Oreochromis niloticus: one gene and its partners. The protein of the gene in region 1 purifies or fractionates together with the protein of each later gene. This does not show direct contact. Links are inferred from orthologs where the notes say so. Each region holds a gene or a part of one and is shown in the gene's direction. Other genes may lie near its edges.

What was found.
Region 2: the proteins of lsm14ab (region 1) and eif4enif1 purify together in Homo sapiens (affinity purification with mass spectrometry; 3 studies listed by BioGRID and IntAct, with this or other methods). This does not show direct contact. The link is inferred for Oreochromis niloticus from reciprocal best matches to the Homo sapiens genes LSM14A and EIF4ENIF1.
Region 3: the proteins of lsm14ab (region 1) and c1qbp purify together in Homo sapiens (affinity purification with mass spectrometry; 3 studies listed by BioGRID and IntAct, with this or other methods). This does not show direct contact. The link is inferred for Oreochromis niloticus from reciprocal best matches to the Homo sapiens genes LSM14A and C1QBP.

Annotation. Positions count from the first base shown.
Region 1 is NC_031965.2:31,839,070-31,846,407, reverse strand, and holds the start of lsm14ab (LSM14A mRNA processing body assembly factor b), read left to right. Parts: upstream 1-4,304; 5' UTR 4,305-4,519; coding exon 4,520-4,643; intron 4,644-5,248; coding exon 5,249-5,412; intron 5,413-6,234; coding exon 6,235-6,385; intron 6,386-7,180; coding exon 7,181-7,338. Other genes in the region: transcription initiation factor TFIID subunit 4, read right to left, coding at 871-2,287. UniProt on the Homo sapiens protein: Essential for formation of P-bodies, cytoplasmic structures that provide storage sites for translationally inactive mRNAs and protect them from degradation. Acts as a repressor of mRNA translation. May play a role in mitotic spindle assembly.
Region 2 is NC_031970.2:16,090,738-16,097,835, forward strand, and holds the start of eif4enif1 (eukaryotic translation initiation factor 4E transporter), read left to right. Parts: upstream 1-4,033; 5' UTR 4,034-4,393; intron 4,394-4,645; exon of another isoform or gene 4,646-4,783; intron 4,784-4,929; exon of another isoform or gene 4,930-4,951; intron 4,952-5,029; 5' UTR 5,030-5,080; coding exon 5,081-5,173; intron 5,174-5,254; coding exon 5,255-5,328; intron 5,329-6,608; coding exon 6,609-6,736; intron 6,737-6,989; coding exon 6,990-7,098. Other genes in the region: protein SFI1 homolog, read right to left, coding at 1-2, 93-163, 279-440, 547-703, 2,206-2,308, 2,395-2,512, 2,610-2,704, 2,785-2,895 and 2 more. UniProt on the Homo sapiens protein: EIF4E-binding protein that regulates translation and stability of mRNAs in processing bodies (P-bodies). Plays a key role in P-bodies to coordinate the storage of translationally inactive mRNAs in the cytoplasm and prevent their degradation.
Region 3 is NC_031975.2:990,641-997,809, reverse strand, and holds the start of c1qbp (complement component 1 Q subcomponent-binding protein, mitochondrial), read left to right. Parts: upstream 1-4,080; 5' UTR 4,081-4,227; coding exon 4,228-4,480; intron 4,481-5,117; coding exon 5,118-5,268; intron 5,269-5,347; coding exon 5,348-5,438; intron 5,439-6,596; coding exon 6,597-6,692; intron 6,693-6,784; coding exon 6,785-6,910; intron 6,911-7,010; coding exon 7,011-7,160; 3' UTR 7,161-7,169. Other genes in the region: ATP-dependent RNA helicase DHX33, read left to right, coding at 1-37, 125-252, 350-553, 635-721, 1,070-1,378.

The DNA of each region.
Region 1 (7,338 bases):
CCTGCCCTTTTACAATTACAGAATATGAGCTTCTATGGAGATTACAATGTTTTAAATATAACAGCTAAATTAGGACTACAAATATGGCTCATCTATTGGGTAAGCTATAATTTGAACTACTGGAATCCTGGCCCACTGAATTGTTGTTGTAATAACAAAAGTTAGCTACATAAAAAAAAACCAATATCTACTCAAATATTTTTTGACAACATATTGCTGTCTCAAAGCATCAGTGGCTACTGTCTGCACACTGGAGCTGCCCAAAGCATTTCTCCGTGCCTCCCAAAGTTTCCTTAGAGGTCTTTTGTGATTCTACTCATCTTCACAGTGTGCTATTATTATCCTGCATAAATAAACATTTAAACTGATGTTTTTTGCTCTAGATTTACCACAAACACAAGGTGTGTGTGCTTATTGCATCTATCTGTATAAATACCTTGATTTCTGTCTTTTTCCTCTCAGTTTTCTCATTTTTTCCCCAATTACAAACAAACAAACCAAACAAGAAAATCAGGGTTTTTCCTGTTTACAAAAAAAAGATATTTTGACCGTTGTGTAAATGAAAATCACCAGGACTGTAATGAAAATGTTTTACTTAAACATTTAATCAAACATAAAACACAGTTTTATTTAGTAAATGATCAGAAATAACATGAAAAATCCACAAACTTCTGTTATGTAAGGTACAACACTTCTTGCCATACATATATGTAGATTATTCATGCCCAAAGGCTTATTTTGAGCCAGGGAAAATCCGGAGGATGTCACACACAATCTTCTATTATGGGAGAGTCCAACACACACTGAGCCCTTTTAACAACCACAACCAGGATCCTCTGACTTGGTTGTTAGCCCTCCTGCTAACCTTACCTTGTGGGATGGTAAACCCAGGGGGCAGCTGAATGGTGGTCTGCTGCTGAGGCGGTCTGACAATCAGTTGGGGGGTTACAATCCTTTGTGGTGCTGTAAGTCCAGGACGGGGTTGCGACTGTGCAGATGTAGCCACAGCAGGTGTTGGAGAGGGAGCTGTTGGCCTAACCATAGTAATAGTGGTGGTCACTGATGTGGTCTGACCAGCTCCACATGCTGAAATAGTTGCCATCCCTGTAACACACGCAGCAGGTGTGATGGAGCTCAGAGGCTGAGTTATTGTTATTGTTGTTGTTGCTGCAGCTGTAGTAGTTGTTGGTGGTGTGACAATAGACGAAGAAGAAGTAGAAGAAGGAGGAGGAAGAGGAGGAGAGGAAGTGGAAACAGTATTTACTACAGAGTTGACACCGCTAGACTGGGTTAACATTACAATTTTGGACTGACAGTCGTCTGTTTTGGAAGCCCCAGTGTCTGTGACCATTTTGGTTTGGTTCCCCGGGGAAGCTGAAGAGGTAACGGGTCCTATACGAGCACCCTGCTGGACCAAGGCCGAAACACTGGTCCCGTTGCCGTTCTGGGCTATACTGGCAACAATATGACTCGGGAGTCTATGCAAAGCAATAGTAGGAGTCCCCCTGTCGAGAGCAATAGCCGACTGACCCACAGGCAGGCTCGCGTTGGATAAGGTGAACGTCGAAGTGTTAATAGAGGTTGTGACGGGTCGTCCACAGTTTGGTGTACTTGCACTCGTATCCACTGGGCTAACGTTGTCGACCACCGCCGTGTTGCTGTTCCTCCGCGTTGTTACAGCTGCGCCGTTCAAACTCTTTATCCGCGCCGAAGCGCTCCTCCGCGGCGTCGTTATGCGTTTTCTCGGCGGGGTTGCTCCCGTCGACGTCTCGCCTGTGCCCACGGTAACTTTAGAGCCCCGGCTGGATGTAGTGGTGCTGATGCTGGCTGGCGGCGAAGATGCCAAAGTTGACACACCAGATGCAGTCAGTGTTGTGATGGATGCTCCATGTGATTGCGAGCCGCTGCTAGTGGCGCTCACACAGGCACCCGAAGTGGTGGAAGGCTCGCCAAAAGAAGGGCTGCAGCCCGGTGAAGGAGATGTGACAGTCTTATCCGGGCTAACGTCTTTAGAGTTGATCTCCTGGCGCATCTCAGTTTTATTTCGGCGTCCTTGTTGTTGTTGTTGTTGTTCTAGTGTTGTGGTGCTCACTGGAGCTGGTAGCGTTTTTCCTAAGTGATGGTTAGAGGGGGCCACAGAGCCAGCGCCTCCGTTTTCGTCTGCTTTACCAGCCGGGTTGCTTTGTCCAGCAAGCTGTGACTCCAATGAGCCCACTAGGTCGCTCACAGCTTTTTCATCCACCTCCGAAAAGAGCATATCTTCCAGGGGGTCGGAGGCGCCCGCCATCTCTGGTCACAGATAGCCGTCTTCTATTTTTTTACAATGCGCCTGCGTGTTACTAGGCATTGTGGGAATGGATCTGACGTCATTAAACAAGGGGGGTATAAATGGAGGAAGGGGCGTCCTAGGTGTAGCCGTAAGTCTGTGATTATTGTATCCTGTTTATTATGTGTTACCTTCATGGAGTATTAATTAGTAATCATACTAAGTACCGTGCAGTTACACCGCCATCCCAAAGTAAAATATGAGGAGCTGTGACCATATTTAAAGAAAATCATATATAGATGAGAAAAAAATGTTCAAGAAATAAGCAAAGATTATTTTAAAACGATATAAGACAGTTATAATGTACATAAAGCTACTAAGTTAATGAATACATAAAATAGATCTGAAACAAAGCATTTATTCAGAAGTTATATAATTATTAGGTCTGATTTTGATATTGTTTTTTCCCTTTGTCTGTGCATCTTTTGCAAAAGGTCAGATGGGAAATATATCATTTATTATCCATACAGTTAGTAAATTACTTTTTTACAGCAGTTAAAAATGAAGTTAACACAATCTGTAAAATAATAGCCTAAATCATTAGGATTGTATCTTAAATCAAATAAAAGGAAATGTGGCAATAACTAATATGAAAAAAATACAATTAGGTAAAATATGACAAAATAAAAATATGAAGTATTAAATTAAATTAAAATGTCTTTAATCCAACATACAAAAAATAGCTTAAAATGTCTTAAAATAAGATAATAAATATTAATAATAAATATGAGATTTCTCAATCTGGCTCAACATAGCAAGGCCGTGCAGGGTTGAAATGAAATGGCATTATGAGAAAAGAATAATACACTGGTCTATTCTGACGACGAGATTTTGATCAGGAATAATTGGGAATACTTTTTTATAGCAGTTAAAATAACAACAACAATGACAATAATAATTTTAAAAACTTTATGGTAGCTGTATTTGATTGTTGTATGTTGAAAGATTGTAATAAGTTGTATATTGTATTAAGTACAGTACATTAATATTAGTAAAAAGTACAGTAATATTTAAAGTAAAATACTAAAAAAAATAATATTATTAGCAATAATTATGGAGTTTTTTTCTTATCATTTTTTGCAATGTTTGTACATTTTGTACAGTTATAGCTACAGTTTATGTTCTGGCAAAACAAGGCAAAACACACAATAAGTAACGTTAAATAACTTCAATGAAAGCATTATTTTTTAATATAAATCACAACACTGCAACATTACATCACCACGACATTACTATGAATTTGTTTGGCCAAGGAATAACATTTTGATGAGTTAATATTGTCTGTTTTCTAAATATTTTGACTTTAGTTTATGTAAGTTCTATTTAGTCTATTCTATTTAGTTTTATTGGCATAATAGCAAACGCTAAAGCTAAAGACATTTCCTTTGGGTTTTTTTGTTTGTTTGTTTGTTTTTTATTTTATATTAGCTATTTTATTCTGATTATTTTCAGAAATCTAGTTATTTAGTTATTTACTTATTTGTGGTTAACTAAAAATGTTTTCACAATTAGTATTTAGTTTGAGTTAGCCTAACTATAACTGCTCAGAAGCCTCTGCCTAAAAACATTCACACTAAAATGAAAATAACCGTTGTTATTATTTTTTATTTAAAATTAGTGCCTTGCAGGGACAGCGTCATGAGAGCTGTGGGAGACACGTAAAAAATTTAGACTGTTTAATGGCTGCGAAATTTTCTGCTCTAAACCTTCTCTGGATGTAATCTCGTGTAATATCGCGAGATTTTTTGTGGCTAAATCTCAAACCTGTATTAAGTATCCTTATTTAGTGACTTAGTTAGTCCCTTTGAGGAAATATTATAATGATAATTACAAAATAAAAGTCCAAACTGCATCAAAAATGTTAGTACAGCTAAAAATATATTTGTCACATCATTCGTTTCTATTTTTAAGCAAAGGCAACAGTGGAAGGGACGGAAGAGGAAAAGGAGGCGACTTTAGTTGACTAGGCCGCTACCTATCTCCCAATATCCTTTGCGGCAGGGGAAGGAAAATGAAAACGGCCATGTCGTGGTAGAGATCAGTTGCGAGCGGGCGAGTGAGATTCAGTGTCGTTTGACGATATATGTTATGTAGTCTGAGAACTGCAGGTCTGAAAATAACGCATCCGACGTCTCGTGTGACACAAAACGTTTTCTTTGGAAGTACGTGTGTAAATAAAGTTAAAGGACGAAGATGAGCGGAGGAGGGACACCGTACCTCGGCAGCAAAATTAGCCTCATCTCCAAGGCCGAGATCCGCTATGAAGGAATTTTGTACACGATTGACACAGAAAACTCGACTGTAGCTCTCGCTAAAGGTAAGTTAAGGCACGCAGAGAAGACTCAAAGAGCGTAAAAGTGTTAAGCGAAGGAAAACAGTATTTTTTAGCGTATTTAGCTTTGTTGGTTAGCTTTTTAGTTAGCCAACAGAGCTAAGTGGCGCTATAGTTAAGCGCTGTAGTCCTTTGTTTACGTTGTAATTGTGGTAAAGTCAAATGCTGTGCACCAAGTGACACATACTTACCACCAGGCATACCTTGTTAAAGCACTAGTTGCGGCTTATTGGCTCTTTTTAGTGTTTATTTTTTAACATGCGTTTTAGAAACTCTGATTATAATACTTTGACTGACAGTATCGCTTAGACCTGGTGGGCTGTGCGTATGGGAAGAGTAATAACTTCATCTCAAGTGCTCATATTGTGTGGAGTTTATTATGTTGAATAATGTGGTTAACAAAAATTGATATAACTTGAAGGGTCTGTTTTCTTTCGTCTGTATTCCAACGCAAATTCATAATATTCAGTTCTAACATTGACAGGTAATGTGAAGTCAACAGTGTCTGTTCTTAACGCAAGGATATTCTCTTCCTTAATAATACAAAAAAAGTAAAGTCGTGTAAATTAACCTGTGAATTTTCCCTACAGTGCGCTCCTTTGGCACTGAGGATCGGCCCACTGACAGGCCTATTCCTCCTCGGGATGAGGTCTTTGAGTACATCATCTTCCGAGGAAGTGATATTAAAGACCTAACGGTTTGTGAGCCACCAAAAGCCACCAGTGCCCTGCCGCAGGACCCTGCTATAGTTCAAGTAAGTCAGTTGGCGTGCATTCCATTACTATAAAACAGCTGTGTAAAGGCTTTTCTTTAGGGCTCTTGTATTCTGGCTCATGGTTGCACAGGCATGGCTTTATTGAGGCATTATAAGGGAGAGACACTGACTAATTATTATGTATGTGGAGTTTGTGTGTGTGTGATTTTATAATAATTAAATAATAGCAATTGAGATAACTATTCAGAATTATTACTGAAATAATTGCCTAGAGGCATTCTGTGAGTTGCAAAGCTTGCTTTAAAGAAACTTTGCTGTAGGGCCATCGTTAACATTATTTCTAACACCTGTATTACAAGGATCACCTATAAAGAAATTCAGGTAGAAAAGTGACAACTATTGTATTACTGCTTTTTCTTTCTTTGTTACAGAAAATAAGTGATTATCAATGTTTTTAATTATTGCCCATTTTAAGAAAATGAAAGAAGCCAATTAGAAAATACAGGAAGCAACAAAAAAAATAAAGGGCTGCTACTTGTTGTAGAAGCCCTGAAAACCAGATTCACAAACAAAGGAGTCGGTTAAAATAAAGTGTATTCAAAGTAGAGTCTGGCTTTTTTTCCCTTCTAGATATGGTATCTTATCTATCTTCTAGATAGATAACACTTTCTAAGACGTGCATTGGTTTATTAACAGCTTTGTGTCCTAACTACAGTTTCACATTCGTTTTGCGTTATTTGTTGTTTTGAAATGTAGGCATCAGACCTTTTATAATTGTATCTTAGTATTTTCAGTCATAGTTAACAGCTATGTTTAAAAATCTTGTAATGTTTTCAACTGGATGCATATTTGTTTGTCTAGTCATCAATTGGATCCTCAAGTGGTGCAGCACCTCCATCATTCCAGGCTCCTGGGTCCTATGCACCTTTCAGCAGGGCTCCTGCCCCATCATACAGCCAGTTTGGTGTTGCACCCATTGGTTCTCAACAGTTTGGATCTACTGGAGCAGTTGGTAAGGAGCTGTGTGAAATAAGCAAGTCAGCCACATTAAAAAGCATTAGGTTGTTCAAGGCTGTCCAAACCCTCTTTTATGGATGGTGTGAAATGTAGCAGATGAAGTTAAATCATTCATTGCTCATATCTGTCTAAATGCTACGTAGTGACCTCAGACAATTAAACAATATTATTGTAAGCTAAACATCTGTTTCTCAAGCAAATTTGGAGCAACACCTGATTCCTGCTCATTTGAATAGATCACAGCTGCACACTGCTTTGAGTTTCCTGCTACACACCTGGTCCCTATTGTGTTTTGAACTGGAAACAGAAAAGACAGTTTTGCGTCATACTTCTAATAAACTGGTGAAGCCTGGACCTTTTTTAAAGTGTTCAAAGGAGAGGTCATGTATAAAAGACACATGTCAAATTTTCTCTCTAAATGTACAGATTCGATTTTTACCTTTTTGTCAGTGAACATCTGTGTCATCCACTGCCAGTAACATGGAAGTCTGTGAGTAGCTGAAGCTTATCATTCAGCTCTGACAGAATCATCTTCACTGCTACTGTGTATTAAATTTTTAAGTAGATTGGGCTGAATGTTACTTTTACTCACAAATACTCCAAAAATGTTTTACATTGGACACAAATCTATTACAAATACAAGTAAAATGCTTACACTGTGAAGTCCTGCACAAGCAGGACTTTAATGGACAGTATGTTTTTCACTCAACACTTTTAATGTGAAATTTTTTTTTTCCCATAAGAGCAGCTACTTTGGAACAGCTTTTAATTGCTGTTTGTTTGTTTGCAGGACGCACTAGTCCCCAGCTGGATTCTATAAGAAAGAGTCCCACCCTGGAACAGGCAGTGCAGGCCCCACCATCAGCTGCCCCAGCTCCACCTGCACCTGTAGGACAGCGGAGTCAGACAGGGGCGGCGGCAGCTTCCAGAACCACCACCACCACTGGC
Region 2 (7,098 bases), on another chromosome or scaffold:
CGCTGCAATGAGAATGCGCTGTGATGAATACATGAATTGAACATGCTGATCTTTGCTTATGTGTGGGTTCTTTATTTTATTTATTTTTTTACCATTAAATGATGTTGGTAGTGTTGATTTGCTGCATGCTTTCTTTCAGTTTCTTCTCTGCACAATGCCACATCTACTGAAGAGCTCAAGAATCAAACAACAATGCCGATAAATTAAAACTGATTTAGTAGCAGGTAGAAAAACTAGTTTATCCAAGTTTTATCTATTCTACATGTGGATCAGGATACAAGCTCTCCAATGCACCAGTGCTGTGCATTGAATGCTCCGCGTGGCCAAACGGGCTGCTGCTTGCAAACGGGTCTCTTCACTGTGTTTGCGATCGAGAGCATTTCTCCATTTACTCCAACACCTCCTCACCAGGAGGCGAGAGCAGGCACGCTGAGCCAAAGCTGAAGGCGAAACACAAAAGAACAAAAAATAAAAATGTGTTAAGAGATAGCAAAATAATGATGCTTCAAGAATGGAAACAAAGCTGCGTGGGTATTCTATAATGACCTTGTGTTTCTGTCTTGGTGTGGCGATAGGACACATATCTCATCCACTGATGCAAAGCTCTTCTTTTCAATCTGGAGATAAAATGAAACGCAGCTCTGGATTCTTTCTCTTTCTGGCAAGAAGCAGCCGTATGCATCTCTTTCCACTGAAGCCAAGCCTTCAATACAAAATATATCAGGTGACCCATCACCAGAGAGAACACACAGGAGTAATGTACCTCAAGGTTCACTACTCTTTGGTTTTCTTTATACATTTGACCCCGGGAGCATGTCATCCATGGGCATAGTGTAAGTTGACAACCACCTCAGCTTAGATAAGCATTTCAATTCAGTTGTCCAGTCTTATTTTATGCTGCTTAGGCTCAGTAAGAGTTAGTTTTCACAGGATTGTAGTATAACTGAGCTATTTTCCCATTCCTGATTTCTTTTTATTTTTGCACATTTATCTCACTTAAATGTTTCAGATCAAATGTTAATATTAGATAAAAATAATTGAGGTTCATATGAAATGCACTTTTAAGTAATGATTTCATTTATCAAGGACAGAAATAATCCAAACCTACATGGCCCTGTGTGAAAAAGCAACTGCCCCCTAAATCTAATGACTGCTTGTGCCACCCCTGACAACAAGAACTAAAATCAGGTGTTTGCAATAACTGACAATGAGTCTTTCACATCCCTGTGGAGGAATCTTGGCCAACTCTTCTTTGCAGAATTATTTTAATTCAGTCGCACTGGTGCGTTTTGGATCATTGTTCTGCTGCATAGCCCAAGTGCGTCTGAATTTCAGAGCACGAACTGATGGCTGGACATTCTCGTTCAGGATTTTCTGGTAGAGAGCAGAATTCATGGTCCATCACAGAGTCACCACCATGTTTGACACCGTGTAATGTTTCTTTTATGAAATACTGTGTGAGTTTTATGCCAGATGTAACGGGACTCAAACCTTCCAAAGACAGATGGCGGTATGACGTAAATCTACTTGACTTCGTCTGACAGGTTCCATTTCCATTATTTCTTGATTCAACAGGTCTGCCTTGAATCAGGCCGAGGTGTGGCTATCAAAATTGAACTCAGCTTTCTAAAGAATGTGGTTAATCACAGTTAATTTAAAATTCAATAATAACAGATGAAATTATCACTTTATTATTGTTATTATTATTTTTTGTATTTCCTTGGGTCATCTTTATCTAATTAGTTTGACAGATTGGAACAGCCTAACTGAGTAGATCAGATTGCAGAGCTTACTATCATCTTTTAAATCTCTCTTAAAGACATACTTTGATGATCAGGTTTTTACTGTGCCTCTGCTTTGAAGTGAATGTTGTCCTTCATAATTTTTTCTTGGTGATAATTTTTTTATTTAGTCTAATTTTTCATAAATGCTTTTAATTTACATGTTTATAATTTTAGTTGTCTTTATCTTTATAAAGATAAGATAAAATTCGTCTTTATCTACTGCCTTTGAACTTCTTCTACTGTCAGCGTTCCTACACTTTATGTTGTTTCACTTTTAATTCTTCTTAAACATTTTGTAGTTTGTCACTTGGTTTTGAAAGGTGCAGTATTGAAAAAAAGTTATTCTTGTTATTTTTATTATTACTATTAATAATAATAATATTAACATGTGATTCACAGGGGTGTTCGATCATGCCCTTACCCTTTTCTTTAAGGTTAGCGCCCTCTGTTTCTGTGCTTGAACCTCCAAAACGTGAAGGTCTCGACGGTGCTGTAATCTAGTCTGCCACAAGCTCCACACTGAGCTGCAAAACAAAAACAATGGTAAAATCAATATTATGGTAAAAATCATAATGCTACAAGTTTTCATTTGATAACACAAAAATCTCACTGCATAGCTGAGAGCCTGTACTGCTCAAGAGCTGATTCCAGCCTTCTGCTCTTCAGTCTTCTCATCTCTGTGAAAACCTCCCATCTGTCCAACAGCAGACGCATCCGCTGGTTGTCAGCTGATGATAGAAACAAAGTGGGTGATGACACATCAGTGAATTATAAAATCTGACAAACCCCCCCCCCAACATTAGGCTTGAATGGTAAAAGTCACACCAAATGACTGAGCCTTTTGCTGTTGCATCTTCTTTTCCCTCTGCAAACACACAAACATTCGCCAGCTGCGGAGAGTCCAGTTGCACAGGTAATACCTGAAATAAAAGCAGCATGAACACATGAACAGACTTCAGTGAATCAACTATAAAAGTCTTCTATAATGTACTGTAATGACCTGTAGTGACAGTCTGCTCGCATGTTCAGACTCCACTCCCTCCTGGATGACCACCACTCATCTCTCCATCCTTCAAAGGTTCTTCTCAGTACCACTCTGTTATAGTGCGACCTGGAAAACACTGGAATTAGTGAGCAGGTAGGAAAACGAGGGCAACCAAATGGTAAACTTGAAAATGCTTTCAATTTCCAAACAAATGAAACACGTTACTTTGCTTCATGAGGAAGAACTCGGCCAAAGGTGTTCTGTATCCATATCTTCAGAAACTTTCTTGCAAGGTGCCTGCAGAAGTTAAAAGAATGGAGACTTAATTTTCAAGAAGACAGTAACATGATAACAGTGGGTCAAGGAATAGTCTCAGCACCTTATTCTCAGCTCCTTGAGTCTTCCACCTTTGTTCCAGGTGTATCCAACTCTGTAAGCGACCTTTCTGATGTGAACTTTGCGCACTTGTTTTGCTTCACCACGAGATCTGACATAGTTTAAACGGGGTCTTACTGGATCCGAGTTTCCGCCGATACTTTGCATTTTTCAAGCCGCTATTATACAGAGCACCGAATCGCATCACTTCTCAAATACAAGCATCAAAGCATCCGCATTTTACACTTTGAAGGCTGTTGTAGCTTACATGATAAAATTACCTTAATTTATCCTCACGTTAAAACTCTTTACAAAGTGCCGCGCGTTTGTTTTTCCTTATCACGTGACCACTTGGTGTCTTCGATACACAGTTGTCAACAACAACAACCTCTGCTGCCGGTCTGTGGAGACCACACTAAACTGGTTGTGGTAGTTATAAGAGTCACGGTCTGCTTAATAAACTTTTCAATATGGGGTGGTGTTTTTCATACACCTCCCTCTACAACAGTTTAAACTCTGAAATGTTTACTTCACACAGGAAGAACGTACTTAAGGTCCCCTCAGTTTAACGACGATGACACGAAATGTCAGTCGTGGACTGCCCGCGAGGACGGGGTCTTTATTTTCATAAGGACCATCAGGAGACCGGCGGTGGAGAATCACAAATCAAGCGAATCCTGAGACAAAATATGGCTGTCTCTAATAATGCCTGTCACGTGCCTTTTACCGTAGTATAAAAAAAATCACTACAAAGCAATTTACATTTTCAATATTTTATATACATACGTATAAACCAATTTATTTTGAAATTAATTTTCATATATTGGTTTAGATTTTAAAATAATTATCGCCAACGCACACCTGCCAATTTAAATTTTTACAAAGGCGCGCTGGGCACGGCGTAATCTTTGCCAGGACCTTCTTAAAGCGGTGATCAGAGGAAAATTGCTGCTACGACTTAGAAAACAGAGAAAGAGAAGACTATTATTTGAGATTTCACCGGTTCCGTGTGATTTAATTTGTTGTTTTGAACCAGTCTTATTGTGTTAGGTTACCCCTCTATAGTGTGTGCTCCCTGAAATCACAGCGACAACTCTACCGGCTCACGATTTGGTGCTCGCTGGGTGGGCATTTATCCCCAGTCCCCCAGCTAGTTAGCTAGCTCAAAGTGCTAGGCTAGGCTAGCCAGCTAACTAACGTGATCAGCTCGGCCGTTAGCGACCGGCATTCCGCACAGCATTCAAACTGAGTAAGTTTGTCTTTTGCCAAAATTTGACTTGCAAGTCGGTTGTCTACACAACTTTTGTGCCACGAATTCGCCTTATGGTTAACTGTGTGGGACGCTACCATCGTTTGGCTAACCCTGTGTCAATCTCTTGGCTAACTAGTAGCGTTTATTTCCTAAAGCTGAAATGATGAGGAATGTTTTGTATTAAAATGTTTACATGTCTTTAACTCGCTGGATCCTTTCATTGCAGAACGGCTTCGTTTACAACTCAAATGCGATACCCAATTAGTAAATTGATGTAAGCGCTTTGTAATATAATGACCTGTCAGTTCTCAGCTGCTGTCAATTAAATTGCTAATTAGCCAGCAACAACCTGAGACTCTAGAGTTGTTTTTTAACTGCCCGGTGCAGGTAAGCTTCATGAGAGTTCAAGTTTTTCTTCACGGCAACTTTTCTGTAATCTTGTTTTCTCGTGCTGCCTAGTTTAAGATGGCAATACATCTGATATATTTTGCAGCAACAGAAGGAAGCAGGGTTTTTTTTGTTTTAATCTTCGGAACATGCGTCCTTTCATTTGAAGTAATTGGCCTTTAAGACTGTATTTAGTGGCCGTAGTCGAGTATAATTGACTTGTAAATGTTAACTTGTCATCCACAGGTGTAGAGTCATTGGTGGCTGAGACACTGTCTGCTCTGTCTGAAATCCATCATGGAGAAAGATGCCTGTGTAGAGCCTAAGAATGGTGACGCTGCTGTCGACCAGCCTAAGCCGGCAGCCACAGCTCCTTACAGATACACTAAGGTGACAAAATGCCAGCTGTGTCATTGTTTATCAAATTTAGATGTTGCTGTGAATTAAACTAGACTATCAATTTATTTGCAGGAGGAGCTTTTGGAAATCAAAGCGCTGCCAATCTCCAATGAAAGGCCTGAATGTCTCTCTGAGAAATATGACAGGTATGAATTTGTGTAAAAGTCACATTGGGTAATACTGGACAGGAGGTTATGCTTTTCAAATGAGAAAGCATGGGTGAATTCTAGTAAGGAAAAGTACTAGTATTTCTCTATGCTGTGAAATACTGATTTTTGGCACAGATCAACAGTTCTTCAATTGTATTTGTTGCTGGAACTGAAGTGTATGTGATCAAAAGTTACTTTGATTAAACAAGGTTAAGCAGAAGAGTTTCTATACAAATATGTTCACTGTCTTGAAACTAAAATTTGCATAAAGTTTGTAATAATCATTGACATAGTTTAACTGTCCAGAAGACTTGCTCCTGCTTTTTGGAATTCACATGCACTTCCAGCTTGTCTCTTGCTCGGAGCTTATTTAAATTCCTTGGGGTAATTCTTAAACAACAGTCAAAGATTTGTTCAGATGTCTGCTTGAGAAGCAAAACAAACGCTTGCACTAGAAGACTTGTATCTTTGTCCAATAGCTGTTGGAGCCAGGAACAGTAGCTATGACTATATGAGAAGTGGGCTCATTAAAGGGTGGGTCAAGCGGTTTTGGGTGGGGGGGTGGGGGGGTATTTTTAATCCTAAAAAAGACCTCTTTACCCCTTCAAAGCCTACTAGGAGTTGCCCTCGAAGATCTTTTCTGAACTGAGCAGTTTGTCATTATTTTTTAGATCTGCTTATGTTTGCATCCGTTAGTGAGGTAAGGTGTGAGAGTGGTCTCTGCCTAGGCAGCTACCCTTGCTAAAACCTGCAAACAATTTTAGTTGTCATCCAATCACATCTTTATTGATGGATACTGAGGTGTCAGAACTCGTCATTAAGTGTAATGTCTTTATGGGAGAGAGTTAATGAATGACTTCAGATTTTGAAGACATGTACTTAAAATGTGATTTGTCTCAACTGTTGGAAAAATTGTTTATAGTAGTCTGTCATCAGAGTTAAACACTGCTAGTGCAACAGTATCAATTAGTTTATTATTTTGAGGATCTGATTTTATTGCACCCTCTTTTTGGGTTGTATTCTGTGCTCACAGCATAAAGGTTGAAATGGATGGCCTGACCTGTGTATTGTATTTTTGCCCATGCCTATCTTTACTTTACTCATCACAGTAGTCTTGTAATACTCAAATATAAATGTTAAACTTTCAAGATGCAGGAATTGTATCTTTCATTGTTGCTCTTTATTTATTTTTTCCTAAACAGGATCCCAGTTGAGGCTGTAGTTGTCTCTTTATTTGAAATTTATGGGTGGCTTTTTTGTTTGTTTGTTTTAAACAGTGATGGTGTCTGGGACCCTGAGAAATGGCATGCCTCACTATATCCCACTTCAGAGCGAAGCTCACCTGTGGAAGGTTTTAAGAAGGACTACATGGATGACAGAGTTCCATTAAAACGAAGAATCCCAGGTAAATAATTACTGATGGTAGATGGTTATCCTTTCATCTTTGCGTTTCATAACAATGTTGTCTAGAAACTTAACTGTGCTCTGATCAATGAATGTTTAGGATTTTAGGTTCCAGTCTTGCACAAGATTTCTAAACTGCTGCAGTGGAATTGTTCATGTAGTCTATGTACTCCATAAAACAGTTGTTGTTGTTGTTATTATTATTATTATTATTATTATTATTTGGGGTGTGTGTTTCCCTCCCTGTTTTTTAGATCCCCGTGAGCGGTTAAAGGAGGATGACCTGGATGTAGTACTGAGCCCACAGCGACGTAGCTTTGGAGGTGGATGTCAGGGCAATGCTGCCCTTCATATCCGTCGCCC
Region 3 (7,169 bases), on another chromosome or scaffold:
GTGACAAATTTTGATTTCATGTCCAAACCTTCTCCAGGTAAGATGCTGTCAGTCAGGATTTACCTCTGGTCCTCCGGTACGCGATGCAGAGTTAGCTGTAGTAGTGCTTTGTATTTTACACCAGAGGCCATCCGTTCTGCTGTGGATCATTTGGAGCTGTTGGGAGCTGTGGAAAAGAAGGACGGGCAGGTTTTCCTCACCACTCTGGGAAAGAAGATGGCGAGCTTCCCTCTGGAGCCCAGATATGCCAAAGTAAATCCTGCTGGTTCTGCTCTGATCTTTTTTTTTTTAGCAAAGACAAAGTGTCGGCTCACAAGCAGATAACCCCTCTGTTTGCTCCACACCGCAGACCATCCTGCTGTCCCCGGACTACTCGTGTTCTGAGGAGATTTTGAGCATCGTGTCGCTGCTGTCTGTGGACACCGTGCTGTACAACCCTCCGGCCCGGCGGGACGACGTGCTTGCAGTGCGCAAGAAGTTCATGTCCAGTGAAGGAGACCACATGACACTGCTAAACATTTACAGAGCGTTCAAGAAAGTCAGCGGTAACAAGGTGGGTACGATGAACACAACTAATGAAAATACATAAATGAAATCATGCTGCTGAGCTGTCACGTGATCTCTGCTGTTGTAGGAGTGGTGTCGGGAGAACTTTGTCAACAGCAGGAACATGGGTCTAGTGAAAGAAGTCCAGGCACAACTTAAAGAAATCTGCCTTAAGGTACACATCTGCTAACCTCTGCTAGCACAGAGGGATTCTCCCAGGAATCGCTGATTATCCTGATCAACTACAGAGGATTTATTAACATTTAATGCAGCTCATTAGAGAATAATATCCATGCTTTTGAAAGTAAAGTGAACACAATGTGTAAATTCTGACAGTGTCAGTATTATTATGAATGTGCATCATCACACAGGCTAACGCCTCAGGGCTATTTTGAAAACAGCGAGTGCCGGTTGATGAATGAGTGTTTTCCTGCTTTGATCGATGCTGCACACCTGTCTTTGTGCATCTCTGCGGTGAACTCATGCGACCTGTGTACTAAGTCACGTCTTGTTGTTTTCCCAGCTGAACCTGAAACTGGAATCGTGTGGAGCAGACACGGCGAGCGTTCGCCGCTGCCTTGCCCACGGGATGTTTGTCAACGCTGCAGAGCTGCAGCCCGATGGCAGCTACTTGGCTCTAGACACCCACCAGCCCGTGGCCATCCACCCGTCCTCCGTCCTTTTCCAGGCCAAGCCGGCATACGTAGTCTTCAACGAGCTGCTGCACACCTCCCGCTGCTACATGAGAGACCTCTGTTTGGTCGATGCCGACTGGCTGCTGGATGCAGCGCCCGAGTACTTTGGCCGCAAGCTCCACCTCAACAAGAGCTAACCAACAAAGAAACAGGCCACCTGCCACAAACACACTTATTGCAAGTTGGTGCAGAACGTTTGCTGTGTCGTAAACTACTCTGGATTTCACTACCTCCCAGTTGACAAGCATTGGGCATCTGTCACTGAAGCAGAAGTCTGCATATCGAAGTTTGACTTCCTCTGGACTGTCATTCCGATTTTACGAGCTGTAATTTCTTCTTGTCATCATTTAGCCACACGGTTGGCCTGAAAAGCCAGTTTGCTTTGAAGTGTCTTGCTTTGATTCTTTCAGTAGTTGCATGCATTTATACAGCACAGGTAACCTCAGAGGAGCACAGCATGGGGCTGTTTTCCACCATGTTGTTCTTCTTCATTGCTACCAAATAGCCATCAAAACGCTCCAGCAGACGGATTAGTGGCTGCGAGTCCAAAATATGAGCTTTTCCGAAGCTAAGAAAAGCACTCTGATTGTTTTGGGTTTACATGAAGTGGTCTTACAGGGGTTTCTTTATGCAATCAAAGTAGATTTGTTTTACTCTACTTTCAGCTGTTCCCTTATTCACAAGAAAACATGAAAAACAAATGCAGTGTGTCACACTGACATGGTTTCACTTATACAGCACTAGCCTCGTTAGCTCGTGCATGCTCCTTTTCCCATCTGCAGTCATGTCACCGTCTCTTCCCCAAATACACGCACGTCAGGAGAAGTAGCATGCCTTCCTCTCCAGGTTCTGCTCATTGCTGTTTGTCGCGCAGATCCCCACACAGTTGCCAGACGTACCTGCTAACAGCAGACATGTGCAGTGCACGGAGAATCTGTTCAGCGATCTGATCACTCGGCTCCGTCACGCTTTGTAGAATGTAAATGACGTTGTGTTGATGATGGAGCGTCCTCTTGTCTTTTTTTTACACATTGGACTCAGGACTGTAAAATATAACCTGAATAAAGTATACAGTTTCTAACTTTGTAGTCAAACGCTGAATGCTTTAGAGAATTATCAAAAGTTGAGCCATTTCTGATCTGCATGAAGTTTATTGTAACGAATGCACGCCTGCCAGGGCTCATCTATGAGCGTGGATCATCTGATCCTAATACATGCCCATGTTTGTTACATATTCTAATAAAAACAAATCCACCTGAGTCGGCACAAGTCAGTCGCAGTTCTAACGTGTTTAGTATTATTGTGTTATGGCCATAGCATGGTTTAAGGACTGTGCGAAAGTCTTGAGCCACCTCATTTTTAAAAACATTTTGCTTCCAAGTAGATGACCTTTGGAATTCTTTAAGAGCTTTGGAGCAATAGTTCTCCAGACTAAGCTCTTCTTCTTTGGATGCTGGATGCTTTTTCACTCATTTTCAGTCCTGAACATTTTCAAAGGAACATTCTGGGTTTTTAAAAAAAATTATCATTCAAGTCTCTTAACACAGCCAGCACTTTGCATAACTCCGGGGGAGAAGCCAGTGTTGTCTACACATACAACATGTCATATCTTTAGGCGCTATGTTACTATATCATTTGCTCCCATTTCTTTATTTGAATCAACGGAAAATGCCAAAACTGACATTTCCGCCAGGGGCTCTTGTGTTATGATGGAGTTATGATTTTGACCCACCATACTATCTGAAGAGCAGTTTGTTTGTTATTTAGCATGATATTGGTCACAAACACTCTACCAATGCAGTAAAAGTAGACCTGGACAGAAAAGCACGCAACTGGACGACTCTTCCTGAAGACTACTCAAAGAAATGACAAGACTTGTCTAAGAGAGTTTAGGCTGTGCTGAAGAATAAAAGTGTTCATACCAAATATTTCAGACTTTCAAGCTCATTAGAATTGCTCAAACTCTGTTTTTGCCTCATGTATTTGCGTTTATGTTTCAATGAATCAATGGACTTATTTCCCATTTTAGTAGCAAAACAGAAATGAGAAGTGTCTCAAAACGTTTGACTATGTTCATTTAGTCAATTCAGAAAAACAGGATCTCCCCTGCTGCCGTTTAATTATAGACAGGCTCACATAGACTGGAAAGCAGCTCCATCTGCTGGCGGGAGGGATTCACATGATGCAACTGATCAGCCTCATTGCACCGAAGTGTCGATGTTTTACTTTGACTGATGCAACCCCGTCGTTAGGGGCCTCAGTCGATCATGTCTGTACACACACACACGCTCTGAAAATACAGTACAAATGCACTACGGTACACCAATCAAAAGAAACCCCTCCAAGCTTTTCAGTAAAAGAACTGAGGCTGGGATTTTTTATTAAATCCTGACAGTTTTTAAGCCAAAACGGGGTTTAACTCTGGAGCAAAGTCCTATTAAATCGGGCCCCTGCACACAGATATTTTTGCACTTTAATCTCCTTACATATGTATTTTTAAGAGTTTCTGTTTTAGTGTCACAGCGTGAAGGCAAAGGTATTATTAAAGTCCGCGGTGTTTCAGATTTGTAGCCACACTGTAAAAAGCTCCGCAGAACAAACGACATGAAAAACCCCAATTTAAACAGATAGCAGCGCCGGTCTGCTATCGCTGATTTGAACTACAGGGGGCGCTGATGTGTAGACAATCATTTACAACACACACGTAATTTTTCCAAATAACTTTAATTAGGTTATATCTTATTTATTTTTTCTATTATAATATTTTGTCGTATTCGGTGTAGTTTTTGATGTAGAATTTAAAATTGCTATTTCGTGTCTTTCGCTTTTAGAGTATTACTTCCGGGGCAAAGAGTATCTGGGTCAATGTGTCCTTCCACACGTGCTGTCAGCGTCTTCTAGAAGCAGCGTCGGTAACCGGTGTTCACAGTGAGCTGTGCGGCACGGAACTCATTTATTCTGTCGTGACAGGTGTTTTTGTACAATCATGCTAAAGTCAGTCGTCCGTGCGGTGGGAGCAGCTGCTCGCCTTTCTTCAGCCAGCACCTCCGCAGCGCGAGTTCTGCCCCTCAGCTACCCGGCACTGCGCTCTCCGAGTTCGGCAGTAACTCGGCCCTTCACCCGGTCTCTCTGGATGCTAAATAATAACGGAGCCTCGTCTGGATACAGGCCCAAACTCTTCAGCTCCAAGGTGTTGAGTCCGTCGATGTCGTGTGGATGTGGAGGACTGCACACAGAAGGTGACGTTTGGTGTAAACTCCTTTAAACAAGCCAGCCAGCTTACGAGACCAATAAACTTAACATTAGATGGATCAGACAACTCGTATTGCCAGAACCAACACGTCCTTTACAGTTTAAAGGGATAAAAAAAGATGTTTAACGATCGTTATAGACTGAGTTCATATCAGCATCTTCAGACTGTAAGGAGTCTTTCACCTTAAACTGTGATTAGTGGTTGTCACTGAAAAAGGCTCTGAAACCTGCCAATAGCCTTTGATCATTCAGCACACGTGACACGTCTAGGACTGTTCATAATATCCAACGAGACATCTTTAGACAGCCACAAAACAGATTTCTTTCATTTTCAGCAGTCTTACAAGTATTGGTAAATGGCCTGTATTTATATAGCGCTTTACTAGTCCCTAAGGACCCCAAAGCGCTTTACATATCCAGTCATCCACCCATTCACACACACATTCACACACTGGTGATGGCAAGCTACACTGTAGCCACAGCCACCCTGGGGCGCACTGACAAGCACTCGTGTTTTGTGTAAAATGTTAGAATCAGCCTTGTTTTTCATTTTATTGTCAGAAGTAAACCTTTAAACAAACTGTGCATCACGTCTCATGATGAAATCATAAACTCTCTGTTCAGGTGACAAAGCTTTTGGTGACTTCCTGTCTGATGAAATCAAAGAAGAGAAGAAGATCCAGAAAAACAAAAGTCTTCCTAAGGTGTCGGGAGGATGGGAGCTGGAGATGAATGGCACAGAGGCTAAACTCACAAGAAGTGTTTCTGGAGAAAAGTAAGTCTGCCAAAATGATTGGATAAACGTGGCCGGTGTGGCATGTGAAACAAGCTCACGGTATTTCTGCTCTTCACAGAATCGCGGTCACATTCAACATCAACAACAGCATTCCTCCCAACTTTGAGGAAGAAGTGGAACAGACACAGCAGAAATCAGCAGAAGAGGAGGTGAGGCACAGCTAGTGGTTGGAAGACACTATTCAAGCATAACCAAAGACACCTAGGAAAGATATCCCTCAAGGGACGAATCAGTGTTGTCTACACATAACAGACAATTTAGAAAAGAACTTAAAATTGTATCTTTAAGCTCTTTGTTGCTAGCAGCCTGTCACAAAAACATTTATTCACATTTCTTTAGTAGAAACTGTGAAAAATACGCCAACGATGGTTGGACACAGTTTGACAGGTTAAACATTGTACTTTGATTCCCAAAGAGCTGTCATTGCAGCACGTTGTGCAACATGGCCTTTTAAGAAAATCTGAGGAAACTGGACAAAAAGTGGTAGGCCTAAACCAGGGGTGTCCAACTCCAGGCCTCGAGGGCTGGTGTCCTGCAGGTGTTAGATATCATCCTGCATCAAATGATTAGTTCATTACCAGGCCTCTGGAGAACTTCAAGACATGTTGAGGAGGTCATTTAGCCATTTAAATCAGCTGTGATGGATCACTGGCTCTCGAGGCCTGGAGTTGGACACCCCTGCCCTAAACTATCTACAGCAGATGAAGAGTATCTGAAAGCTGAATCCTTAAGAAATGGATGAAAAAATAGAGCAAAGATTTGACAGAGAACACAAGAGATGTTCATTTATCTACTGTGACTGAGACCTCATCAGAAATGTTCTCAGTGAAAGGCTGCCTCTCAAGAAGCCATTGATCGTTGGTGAGGAATCTAAATGTGAAGGTTTCCTTTCAAATCATAGTATGTACAGAAAAGGTCAGGAGAGGGAAAACAGAGGCTACGACCATCTGCAAAGCACAGTGGAGGCTGCATTTTGTTAGTCCAAGAGATGGAAAACATCTCTGTTAGCGTGCTTGTCAAACGCGATAAAAGCTGAGTTGAAGAATAAAGACGAAATATTGACTTTCAGACTCGTTAGAACTGCATGAACTCTTAAGTTTGTCTTATACACTGTTTTCATATTTGTTTACTGTTTTCTTATATGTCTGCACTCATTTCAATAAACGGCTCCTCCATTTGCTAATTTCCTAACAACACTTAAAGAAACGAGGGTGGCTTGCACAGCACCGTAGGCGGCTACTGGCTTACACACTGAAGTTTTTAACCTCAACATTTTGTGTATTAAGCTTTTTACCCCTTTTTTGCAGCCGGAGATTGTATCAACACCCAACTTTGTTGTTGAAGTGACAAAGCAGGCTGCAAAACATTCCCTGGTGTTCGACTGCCATTTCCCTGAAGATGAGGTAAAGTCAAATAAAACGAATGTCTAATATTGCCGATAGCAGCAGTAGTGTGCGCAATAGTGAAATGAATATGAGGCATTTGTATTTCGTAGATAAGCCACGGTGAGGGAGAAGAGGAGAGCGACATCTTTGCCATTCGAGAGGTCAGTTTTCAGCCACAGGGAGATTCAGAGTGGAAGGAGACGAGCTACACACTCAACACAGACTCTTTGGACTGGGTGAGAGCCGAGGCAGTACACACAGCAACAGCTCAATTATAACGGTCACTGAAAGTGGCGCTGTGCTCAAGGTTGCTTACTTACTGGTACTGTTTCTCAGGCCCTGTATGACCATCTGATGGACTTCCTGGCTGACCGTGGGGTCGACAACACCTTCGCCGATGAACTCATGGAGCTGAGCACGGCCATCGAGCATCAAGAGTACATCAAGTTCCTGGAAGACCTCCAAGGCTTTGTCAAATGTAATTAACTTCAGTGC